Linked DNA regions of Tamandua tetradactyla. The protein of the gene in region 2 purifies or fractionates together with the protein of the main gene of each other region. This does not show direct contact. Links are inferred from orthologs where the notes say so. Each region holds a gene or a part of one and is shown on either strand. Other genes may lie near its edges.

Region 1 (3,749 bases), on a different chromosome or scaffold from region 2:
TGTTCCATGGAAATGCGACACACCCAACTGTGAGTGCGGCCTTTTGATGAGATGGAGATGTGACTCTGCTTATTCAAGGTGGATCATGATTAGTTTACTGGAGTCCTTTAAAAGGGGAAACATTTTGGAGTTGATTCAGCGCTGACACAGACATTTGGCGGTGCAGAAAGAAAATTTCCCTGGGGAAGCTGTTTTGAAATCAGAAGTAAAGGGCCAGCAGACACCAGCCCCCATGTCTTTCCAGCTGATAGAGGTGTTTGGACACCATCAGCCTTTCTTGAGTCAAGGTATCTTTCTCTGGATATCTTAGTTTGGACATTTCTATGGCTTTAGAACTGTAAACTTGTAATTTAATTCCCTTTGTAAGAGCCAACCCATTTCTGGTACATTGCATTCCAGCAGCATTCAACAAACGAATACACCCTCCAATGTAATTTCATCTCACTTTAAATGTCACTTCGTGGGGAAGGCTTTTCTTGATTTCTATCTGAAGTTAGACCCCATAGCACCCTGTGATTCTCCTTGAAGCCCCACTGGATAGCTACAATCACTTAATTTTTTATAACTATCTGTTTGATGTCTGATTTCTCTGCTAGACTGTAAACTCTGTGATGACAGGAATCACAGTTGTCCTGGTCACTGTTGTTCCAAGATTCTAACACAGTGTCTGACAAACAGTAGGAACTTCATAAATTTTGTTGAATAACAGGCTGCCTGACACGTCAGGCACCTCAAATACTTGGATGTGGCAGGATATAGACTGGGTGGATTTAGTCGGGGCCTTGTACAGTAAGTGGTTAGACTTGACTGGGTTGGGAGCAGAACAGCATTTGATTGCATTTGAGCTACGGAGTGACCTAAAGATAACCACATTTCTAGAAGTTTCCTCTGGAAGACGCTTACTGGAAGGTTGGAGCGGGGCAGACTGGAGGGAGACCATCAGCCATTCACTTACTAGACTGTACCCACTATGTACCAGACAGGCACTGCACTAGGAGCAAAATCAGAAATGACCCTCCATTGGGGGGGGCTTATGGTTGTGACTTCAGAACATAGCGAAAAGGGAGTCCCTTAAAGGATTTTGCATTTCAAAAGTCAGCCTCTAAAGGACTAGAGAGGATCGAGATATTAAACAGTTGATTTTGGAGTAAATAGAACTTGTAAGAGTTTGACCTCCACCCACTCTCCTTAATCTGCCCCACCTCAACATCCCCATAAAGGAAACTGTTCTAGTTTGCCAGCTGCTGGAATGCAATATACCAGAAATGGAATGGCTTTCAAAAAGGGGGATTTAATAAGTTGCTAGTTTACAGTTCTAAGGCCGAGAAAATGTCCCAATTAAAACAAGTCTGTAGAAATGTCCATCCAGGGAAAGATACTTTGGTTCAAGAAAGCCGATGAAGTTCAGGGTTTCTCTCTCAAGTGAGAAGGCACATGGCGAACAGGATTTCTCTCTCATCTGGAAAGGCATGTGGGGAACACGGCGTCATCTGCTAGCTTTCTCTCCTGGCTTCCCTTCATGAAGCTCCCCAGGAGGCGTTTCCCTTCTTCATTTCCAAAGGTCGCTGGCTGGTGGACTCTGCTTCTCGTGGCTACGTCATTCTGCTCTGCTCTCTGAATTGCTCTCATTCTCCAAAATGTTTCCTCTTTTATTCCTATAAAAGAACTAATCAAGACCCACCCAAATGGATGGAGATACGCCTCCAGCTAATCCAGTTTAACACCACTCTTGATTAAATCTCATCTCCAGGGAGATGATATAATTACAGTTTCAAACATACAATGCTGAATAGGGATTAGAAGAAACAGCTGCCTTTACAAAATAGGATTAGGATTAAAACATGGCTTTTCTAGGGTACATACATCCTTTCAAACCAGCAGAGACACAAGTTCCCTAGGCTGGAAATAGAGGGGAAGAGATAGCTGCACAGCTGTTGGTGAGTCTCTGAAAAAGGAGCCCTTTCCCTTGCTCCCTCAGGCCAAAGCTGCTGTTGCTTGAGAAACATAGAGGCATGTCTGCCAATAACCCAGAGGCAGCCCAAGCTCCATTTCCCAGGTAGATTCAGTGGCAACCTGCCTGGATAAATGACAGAAGATTTGGGAGTCTCAGGAGTTGCCAATTCAAACAACTGAGATTGAAGTTTAGATAAGCTTTCCCTTCTCCCGGCTGGCCATACGTTAACTTTCCCAAGACTGCGTACAACCTGAAAGTCAGGAGTCAGAAGAACCCAGAACCCTGTCTGAGATTGTTTCTACCACTCCAAGGGAAAAGAAGAGATTTGAAAAGAGATAACATCATAGGAAAAAAATAAGAATGCTTGCACAGGGACGTCTGCGATCTGAGATCCATAGCCCTACAAATCAGAAACAATCTCACCAGCAAACGTAAAACAGCGACTGTTACAAAACTTAAAGGTGAGGTCTACGATGCCACCGGAGCCTGCTCCAGAAGATTCTTAGCTGAAACAGTAAATGATGAGGGCCCAAATGCAGATAGGTGAGTCTGAGAAAGAAACAACTAGATTAGAGGACAGACTGGGAGCCACTCCTGCATGTAACCTGGAAAGAAGGCAGAATGGGGAGGCAGGTTCAGGGGAGGGGCAAAAAGGGCTCCGATTTTTAGGACGTTCTTGAGGACCTGGTTTTAACAGCAGAAAGGAGCCATCCCTACGGTTGTCAGTAACGGCGATGAAGCCTTTGGGAAGCAATGTGGATGTCTTCAAAGTAATATTCGCTCTCTTCACTTCCTTGAATCAATCTTCAAACCGACAGTGAGGCGGTATCTTGGGAACCTTACAGCACTGAAAGCTGCTTCAGAGTAAAGCTGAAGGATCTGAGGCTCAGAGAAATCAAGCGACGCGTCCAGGATCACCGAGCAGGTCGCCGCACCCCAAATCCTTCCCGTTTACACCGCTGAAGGAGTCTGAGCGCTGGTTTTCCTACTGCTCTAAAATTCTGAGCGAACACCCGGCAGGGTTCAGGTGTGGACGTGCCCTGTGATGGGGCAGATGCCTTTCCCCACTGTCGCTGCGCCTCCAATTCTCACACCATGACCCCTTTTGAGCGCAAAGTTTCTCCCGAGACCCGAGGCTCTCGGCGCCTGTGTTAAGAACTACATTTCCCACAATGCCCGAGGCGGCATTATGTAGCCCAAGAACTACATTTCCCCAAATTCCGAGGGGGTTGAAGCGGCAAATTGGCTTCGACCTCGATTCCAAAGATCCAGTTTACCTACTGAACAGCCCAGATATAGTCACCTTTTTCCCCCTTTCCTGTCAGAGACTTCCGTTCCCAGCTTGAACTTCCGATCCCATTCTTCTCTCCGTACTAAAACTTGGGGGAAAAAAAAAAAAAAGTAATCGAGACGGTAGAGCGCATGCGCTCATGGCACTAAGCTCCTGAGGCGGCGAAGGCCGACCCGGCTCGGCTTCAGGAGCTGGCGCATGCGCAGACGGTAAACGAACGCCCAGGCGTTGAGGCGCGGGTTTGGTGGCGCGTTTTAGCCAAGTCGCACGTGAAGAGCAACGGTTGCCGAAGTTCCGTAAGTATGAGCCGAGACCGGGGCCGGAGGAGAGACATACAGGGCCGGGAAGCGGCAGCCGCTGTGGGGAGGACGAGACCGGAACCTCAAGGCCTGGCGAGCCGGAGTGGGGAGGGGTCCGACGTCGTGCGGCGGGGGAAACAAACTAGGGACCCGGATCCTCGTTGCTATGCAACCGGGGGCGTCGTTACTAGGTAACCCGGGAAGC
Region 2 (3,749 bases):
GTTACCCATCTCTCCCTCCAAGGAGGGATAAGCCTGTCTGATTTGTTTACTGCAATAGCATCAGACCTAGTGTAGAATCTACCACACAACCTCTCCACAAACGTTTGCATGAATCAAGACATCCTTAGGTGCCTTATGGAAATAACTTGACTAAATTCTCATAACGATCCCATGAGTTAGCAACTGCAACCCTCTCAATTTTAAAGTGGCAACAGGCTCTGAGAGGCGGACACTGCTCAAAGACATGACATAACCAAGAGCAGAACCTAAGTCCATCCAAACTGAACAAGCAAACTGCCTCACTAACAGACAGCAAGCAAGATTTAAGCTAAACCAAGGAAAGACCTGTCTTCCCAACCAGGTCTGAAAACAATAGCAATATCTTATGCAAACTAGGGAAAAAAAAGATGAGGGAAGAGAAGAAAACGTGGGAGGGCTAGATCAGGGCTCAGTCATTTGGGCTCTGAACCTCTCCACAGCCTACAGCCTCCCTTTTCACCCTCTCAGTTCAACCTCCACAGCTGAGAGGATTTTTACCAACCAACAACTGGCAACGCCCCTAGCCTAGCTTCTCAATACCGTCAGGACAAAGTCCAAGCCCTAGATGAAGGGCCCATGAGTCAGTGCACGGCCCTCTAGCCCCAGGCACACAAAACTATCGGTGGTTCATACAATGCTCCAGGCTTTCTTTGGCCCTTAGAGATTTGCACTACTGATTTAAGTCAGAAACGCCCTTCTCTCTCATCATACAAAAACAACGCTTCTGCTACCTGAAGGCTTTTCCAAAAAATATCTTCTCCTATGAAGGAATGAATTCGAGCCCCAACCCCTCTGCCCTGACACTGTCGGAGAACCGGACTCTCTCCCACTGAACTGGAATCCACGAGACAGGGCCAGGGTTATCTCAGTCACCAATGTGTCCCCAGAACTGCCCGGCACAATGCTCTAAAAGCACTTGCAGAATTTACATTCCTTATTTTGTTTTCTAAAACAGCAACTTTATTGGTAATCTCAAACTTAATCCCAACAAGCTCCTTTGATTTTACTGGCCATTTTCTTGAAGTTGTAAGAGCTACTAACATTTATCCAGCTGGGTACCTTAAAAAAAAAGCGCTGCATGAAGGTTTAACTAACTTAATCCTCAGAATATCCCTGCAAAGAAGGTATTAGAAATTTGCTCAATTTCCCGATATAGAGAATGCTCAAGAAGGTGGAAGTCTGTCTCACTTCAAAAAGTGAATTCTTAAGCAGAACTCCATACTTGTGACCTCTACCACTTTTCTTGCTGTATAACCTAAGGAGAGTCACTCATTACTAAGTCAGTGTCCTAATCTGAAAAATAGGAATATAATTGCTTCTTCCTGGCAGGATTGTGAAAACTGAATATATCCAAGACTGACTTCATAAAAGTACACAGATCAGCACCTCGTACAGAGACACTACTGTACGTTTTCAGTGAGAAGGTAACAGGGAAAAAGCCAGTCGAGGTCCCTGCTTCATGGAGCTCACAGACCAATGAGGAGACAGACCCGTCTCCAGACAGTGACAGCCCAGAATGATCAGGGCCTGATGGTGGATGTACGGAGACTAGGGGAAGTCAGAGGCAGGCATCACAGAGAGTAGAAGACCAGGAAAGGCTTTCTGGAGGAGGGAGTCCCGTTACCTGAAACCCAAACGAAGAGCAACAGAGATCAGGTGAACAAGAAGCGCCTAAGACGACGTATGGGAGTGTTAAAAGACAGAGGGCAGCATGTGCAAAGGCCGAAGGACTTTCACTGCAGCCGTTTGGCAGGAGCAGAAGCCTGAGGAAGAGAAGCGGCTGCCGGGGAGGGGTGGGACCAGCTTGTGAAGGATAGTCTGGAGTTTGGACCATCCCGAGAACTTACCATCCTTTTTGATTTTCTCGTTGAGGTTGTTGATGTAAATAGTGTGGTTGGGGCGGGTCTCGGGAACCGCCATGGTGTGAGGTTCCGAGGTAGGACTGAAAGAACGAGAAAGGAGATTTCAGCCGCAGATGTCTGCAAATCCTTGATCCCAGTGCTGGCCTAATAGGCTGCTCGGGGATCTTCCAAGCAGAAGGAATTCAGGAAAGCCGGGAGGTACAGCTCGGGCAACAAAGCTTAGTCAGGACTCGGGATCGCCTACCCGCGTGGTGAGAGAACTCTCGAGACTCTCACTACGAGTCCCAGGACGCTTTACGCGGCCCGGTAGGCGGGGCGCCCTAAGTAGTGATTCCTATTGGCCCACGAGCCCAAAAGGGCGGCCGGTACGAGAGACCCGGATGTTAAGAACAATTAAGGTTGGGAGGATAAAATTTGGGGGCGTCCTGGCCTCGCGCAGCAGGAAGACTTCCCCAGAAGGGGCGCGGGAAGTCCCAAGCACTAAGAGTTCCGCCCGCCCAGAGTCTATGGCAGCTTTTCGCTCGAGATTACTCACCAACCATTCGACAGCTCGCGCAAGGGATAACTACTGCATTTCTGAGACCCAACCACAAAGCTTCCTCTCCTGGCCCCGCCTTTGCCTTTCTAGAAGCCAATCCCCAGGCAGAACCTCAGTAGCCTGGCCAATCAGAGCCAGTCTACCTCACCCTGCCAATCAAAACGACACACGGGTTCCCGCCTCGACACAAAAAACCCACCCAACTCCTTGAAATTCCGCCCACGTCTTGCAGCCCCTGGGCCTGTGGACCAATCAATGAAGGCCGCGCCCCCTCACGCTCTTCTTGCCAATCGGGACGCAGCTCGCATTTCAGTCTCTTCCGGCGGCGATCATTAGGAAGCCTCATCTCCGGGCCTTCTCCAAGCCTCCGCGTGTTTTCTGCCACGTGATCATGGAAGGGGCGGTTATGAGGCTGCGGTCCTCACGTGATGTGAGAAAGGTAGTGTGCAGCCGCCGCCATTTTGCGGGGGTAGGGGTCGGGGCACGCGCGTGATACTGCGGGTCTCCCTTCCCTACTCCGGTCTTTTGGCCCCCGCTGGCTTCCGACCTGTGAACCTTCCCCATCTCCTGTAGGCATTTCCTGTTGCTTTTTTGTTTACTGGGCCTTCTCTAAAACTAAGCCATTTTCCTTGCCAGGTGTCCTTTTTGACCTCTTGACCCCTGGCTCGAACGACCGCTGGAAGGTTTTGAGCTGGGGTCTCGGATGCAAGTAGAGCCTAAACTCCCCCGGTTTTTAGCCCTGAGCCCCTCAATCCCACCTTTAGGCATCACCATACGTTTGACAGCCTGTGTCCCTAAATTGACGCATGAGGTTTCTAAATACTACGCTGGAGAAAAAATTAATCTCCTAATCTGCTCTTGAGCCCTGCCCCACTCCACAAAATCTGAGATTCGGGATTCAGCTAATCCAGACACAGACAGGTCAGCTCCCAGATACCTCGGGACTTGAGTCAACTGCCATCCCTGCTTCCCATGGTTCCAGATTTTAGCCCCAGTTCTTTCAGTCCCAGTGCTTAGCCCCCAAATTGTGGAAGTGGACTCTTAAACCTTCAAAATCAACGTTTCTGAGACTAACTCATTTTGAAGTATCCTTTCCTCTTCCGTTTGCTACCCCCAGATACTCCCATAGAACCCAAAATGACTTCTCCATGCTCTTCTCCCCTAGAGTCCCCTGTCCCTCAAAGTGCCCTTGCACTCAAGGACCCTATCATGCCACTTCCTCCCCTGCCCCCGAGTCCCTCAGACTTAGATGTTATACCCCCTCCCTTGAGCCTCCAGGTCCTTAGCCCTCTACCCCCTCCACCCCCACC
Region 3 (3,749 bases), on a different chromosome or scaffold from region 2:
GACTTGCCTATTCTGTTCACTTCATATAAATGGAATTACACATGTGGCCTTTTGTGACTAACTTCTTTCCCTTAACACAGTGTTGAAACTGGTTTCTGCCATTTAATTTCTGCAAAACCTTAGGCAAGTTACTTAATACCAGTCCTCAGAGGTCATTATTATAATCAAATAACATATTCAATAGATAATTATTGACCTTAGTTGAGCGAGACATACACCAATCTACTTGCTTGATCTTTTGCACTCATTTTTCAACAAATACTTATCAAAGGCATTATTGTAGGCACTGAGTCTACACCAGTGAACAAAAGATATCCAAATCTTCCTGTTCTCATGGAGCTTACATTCTACTCACAGGAAACAGGCAATAAACAAAATAAATATGTGAAATATATACTGTTTTTACTAGACGGTAATGACTTCTAGGTAGAAAAATAAAACAGACCTTTTAGGAAGGGTTTGTATAAGGTGATCAAGGAAGGTGTCCCTGAGGTGACATTTAATTAAAGACCTTAAAGCAGTCTTGCTGACAAGATTTTAGTTCTTTAAACTAGGAAAGAAATATGAAAATTAGCCTCCTTTTAAATGCCCTCTGAGATTATCAGGTTTTAGGAAAGTTTCCTTATATCTAATCTGTACTTTTACTATGAAGCTTAAACCTGTCAATTGTTTTCTCATCATAGGGTATTTCTCAGTGGCACTAGCATCATTGCAATAGCAGTGTAATGTAGCAGTTAGTGTAAAGTAGTAGAGCTTGACTGCCAGAGTTCACACTCTAGTTCTTCATTGCCAAGTTGCAGTAATCTTGGACAAGTAACTCAGTCTCTCTATGTCTCAGCTGCCCAATCTGCAAAATTCAGATAATAATATTGCCTACCTTGAAGTTTGTTACGAGAAATGAGTTATTTCACATAAAAATGCTTAGATAATGTGCTGGTTGAAAGGATATATGTTCCCTAGAAAAGCCATGTTTAATCAAAATCCCATTTCATAAAGTTAGAATAATCCCTGTTCAATACTGTATGTTTGAAGCTGTAATCAGAACATCTCCCTGGAGATGTGATTTAATCAAGAGTAGTTGTTAAGCTGAATTAGGTGATGACATGTCTCCACCCATTGGGTGGTCTTGATTGGTTTCTGAAGTCCTATAAAAGAGGAAACATTTTGAAGAATGAGAGCGATTCAGAGAGAGCAGAGAAGAACGACATAGCCCTGAGAATCAGAGTCTACCAGCCAGCAACTTTTGGAGATGAAGAAGGAAAATGTCTCCCAGGGAGCTTCATGAAACAGGAAGCAAGGAGAAAAAGCTAGCAGATGATGCTGTGTTTGCTATATGCCCTTCCAGATGATAAATGTACCCAGACCATGTTTGCCATGTGCCCTTCCACTTGAGAAAGAAACCATGACTTTCATCAGCCTTCTTGAATCTAGATATCTTTCCCTGGATGCCTTAGATTGGACATTTCTATGGACTTGTTTTAATTGGGACATTTTCTCAGCGTTAGAACTGTAAACTCTTAACTTATTAAATCCCCCTTTTTAAAAGCCATTCTGTTTCTGGTATATTGCATTCCGGAAGCTAGCAAACTAGAACAAGTCCATAGTTTTCAACTTTATTGAAACTAAGTTTTCAATAAATATTAGCTGTCCATATATGTACACATAAATATACATATTAGGGATGTATTATCTATTGCTGCGTAAAAACTTACCCCCGAATTTAGCAGCCTAAAATAACAAAAAAATTGTCTCAGTTTCTGGTCCAGGAATTTGAGAATAGCTTAGCTGAAGAGTCAAAATGTCATCTGGGATACAACCTACAACCTAAATAGATAGATGGATGGATGGATAGATATATAGATAGGTAAAGACAGAATGACATGACAAATGTGGAAAAATGTTAGAAGTTGGTAGATCTGGGTGTCTGGATGAGGGTATGTTGGAGTTCTCTGTATGGGTTTTGTATAATTTTTGCAACTGTCCTGTAAATTTGAATTTATTTCAAAGTAAAACAAAAAAAATTTTTAAGTTATTATGCAAAACATGGAAAGTCTGAAAAATTATCACGTCCAACAGGAGCCTAAGGAGACATGACAACTAAATGTAATGTGATCTCCTGAATGTCCTGGGATAGAAAAAAAGACATTAGATCAAAACCGATGAAAAGAGAATAAAGATTAGTAATGTATCCATATTGGTTCATTAATTGTGACAAAGGTATTATACCAGGGTCATATATTAATATTCGGGGAAACTGGGTGTGAGGGACTATCTTTGTGACTTCTTTGTAAATATGAAACTACTCTGAAATTAAAAACTCATTTTAAATATTTAAAAAAAAAAAAAAGGGTATCAGCTCAAGCTACTATCACCTGAAGCCTTAACTGAGGCTGGAAGCCCTGCTACAAAGACAGCTCACTCACATGTGTATAGGCAGGAAGCCTCAGTTCCTCACCACCAGGACTTCTCCATGGGACTGCCGGAGTGTTCTCATGGCATGGCAGATGGCTTCCCCCAGAGTGAGTCACCCAAGAGAGAACAAACAGAAGTTGTATGATCTTTTATGACCTACGCGTGAAGTCACATTCCATCATTTCTGCCACATTCTATTCCTTAGAAATAAGTAACTAAGTACAGTGTGTGCTCAAAGGAGGAGAATTAAGCTCCACCTCTCGACTGGAGGATTATCAAAGGATGTGTGAACATATTTTCAAATCACCACAAGGGGTCATTCTTTGTTTCTTTTAAGTGCCTCTGCTTTACAAGTTATAGTGAGAATCCTTGGGAAAACCGCTCCTTCTACCATTTGTTTAAACCATAGAAATGAAAGGTAATTTCCGTTTAACATTCATACTTAAGAAAAGGGAATGTGGACTAGATATCCTAGCTTGAGAAAATCATCAACTGTAATAAATCTGTTATAAATAAAATGCCTCCTGTATTTAAGAGTCTTATATAAGCCAGCTGAAAAATGACTCCTGAAGATTTCCCAAGGGCTGGATTAGGATGGATTTAGAATATTGACAAATATGTCAACATGTATCTAAATAGATCAGATGGCCCGGACATAATAAACTATGCTGAATTGTCCCACCTAGGGTGACATTCCTTCCAAACATTTAGACATGGATGTAGCCATGATAGAGTCTCAGTTCTCAAATACTTGAACTCTCTGAGTGTAACAATTTGGCTTCTTATTTTACTGTGGCTGTGGAAAAAATCCAGTATAAAATATAGAAATAAGCTGAATATGTTTTTGTTCACAGTTAAACAAACGAACAAAAACATGGAACATGTTAGAAACTTAGGTTTGTATCTCTATTGTGCAACAGCTCTGAGATGAAATCCTTGGCAGAACAAAACAGAGAGAAGTGATTCTTCCACCTCCCTTATTAGCAAATAAAGTAGCTTCCCAGTTAAGTTATCCCCAGTTCTCTTCACATTTTGTTTGGTTCCTTAAAAACCTGGGGCAGTATAACACCCAGCCCCTACCTTTTCACCACCCAGACTTGAGAAATCAAAGGGAGAAAAATAGGCCTTCCTCAGTACAATAAGTCAGGTCCATCCAGCTCACTAATGTGCCCCACCGAATCTGGCACCCCAGAGTTGCTCAGCTGGTGTTGCTGAATAAATCGTCTTTATATCACTTAGCACCCAGTCTCAGAGACTGAAAAAAGAACCTTTATTAGCTTCAAGTCCTTCAGCAAAACTTAAGTCAATGTTTCCAGGCATCAAAATTAATGTGTTTT

The links. Proteins that work in one complex are often made in the same cells at the same time.
Region 1: the proteins of SNRPA (region 2) and PRPF19 fractionate together in Homo sapiens (co-fractionation; 3 studies listed by BioGRID and IntAct, with this or other methods). This does not show direct contact. The link is inferred for Tamandua tetradactyla from reciprocal best matches to the Homo sapiens genes SNRPA and PRPF19.
Region 3: the proteins of SNRPA (region 2) and SRPK2 purify together in Homo sapiens (affinity purification with mass spectrometry; 4 studies listed by BioGRID and IntAct, with this or other methods). This does not show direct contact. The link is inferred for Tamandua tetradactyla from reciprocal best matches to the Homo sapiens genes SNRPA and SRPK2.

Annotation. Positions count from the first base shown.
Region 1 is NC_135335.1:14,207,471-14,211,219, reverse strand, and holds the start of PRPF19 (pre-mRNA-processing factor 19), read right to left. Parts: upstream 2,599-3,749; 5' UTR 1-2,598. Other genes in the region: voltage-gated monoatomic cation channel TMEM109, read left to right, coding at 3,711-3,735. UniProt on the Homo sapiens protein: Ubiquitin-protein ligase which is a core component of several complexes mainly involved pre-mRNA splicing and DNA repair. Required for pre-mRNA splicing as component of the spliceosome.
Region 2 is NC_135342.1:23,372,568-23,376,316, forward strand, and holds the start of SNRPA (U1 small nuclear ribonucleoprotein A), read right to left. Parts: upstream 2,570-3,749; 5' UTR 2,437-2,569; intron 2,409-2,436; exon of another isoform or gene 2,146-2,408; intron 1,982-2,145; 5' UTR 1,960-1,981; coding exon 1,887-1,959; intron 1-1,886. Other genes in the region: ACTMAP (actin maturation protease), read left to right, coding at 3,577-3,749. UniProt on the Homo sapiens protein: Component of the spliceosomal U1 snRNP, which is essential for recognition of the pre-mRNA 5' splice-site and the subsequent assembly of the spliceosome. U1 snRNP is the first snRNP to interact with pre-mRNA.
Region 3 is NC_135327.1:143,769,156-143,772,904, forward strand, and holds the start of SRPK2 (SRSF protein kinase 2), read right to left. Parts: upstream 2,483-3,749; 5' UTR 2,424-2,482; intron 1-2,423. UniProt on the Homo sapiens protein: Serine/arginine-rich protein-specific kinase which specifically phosphorylates its substrates at serine residues located in regions rich in arginine/serine dipeptides, known as RS domains and is involved in the phosphorylation of SR splicing factors and the regulation of splicing.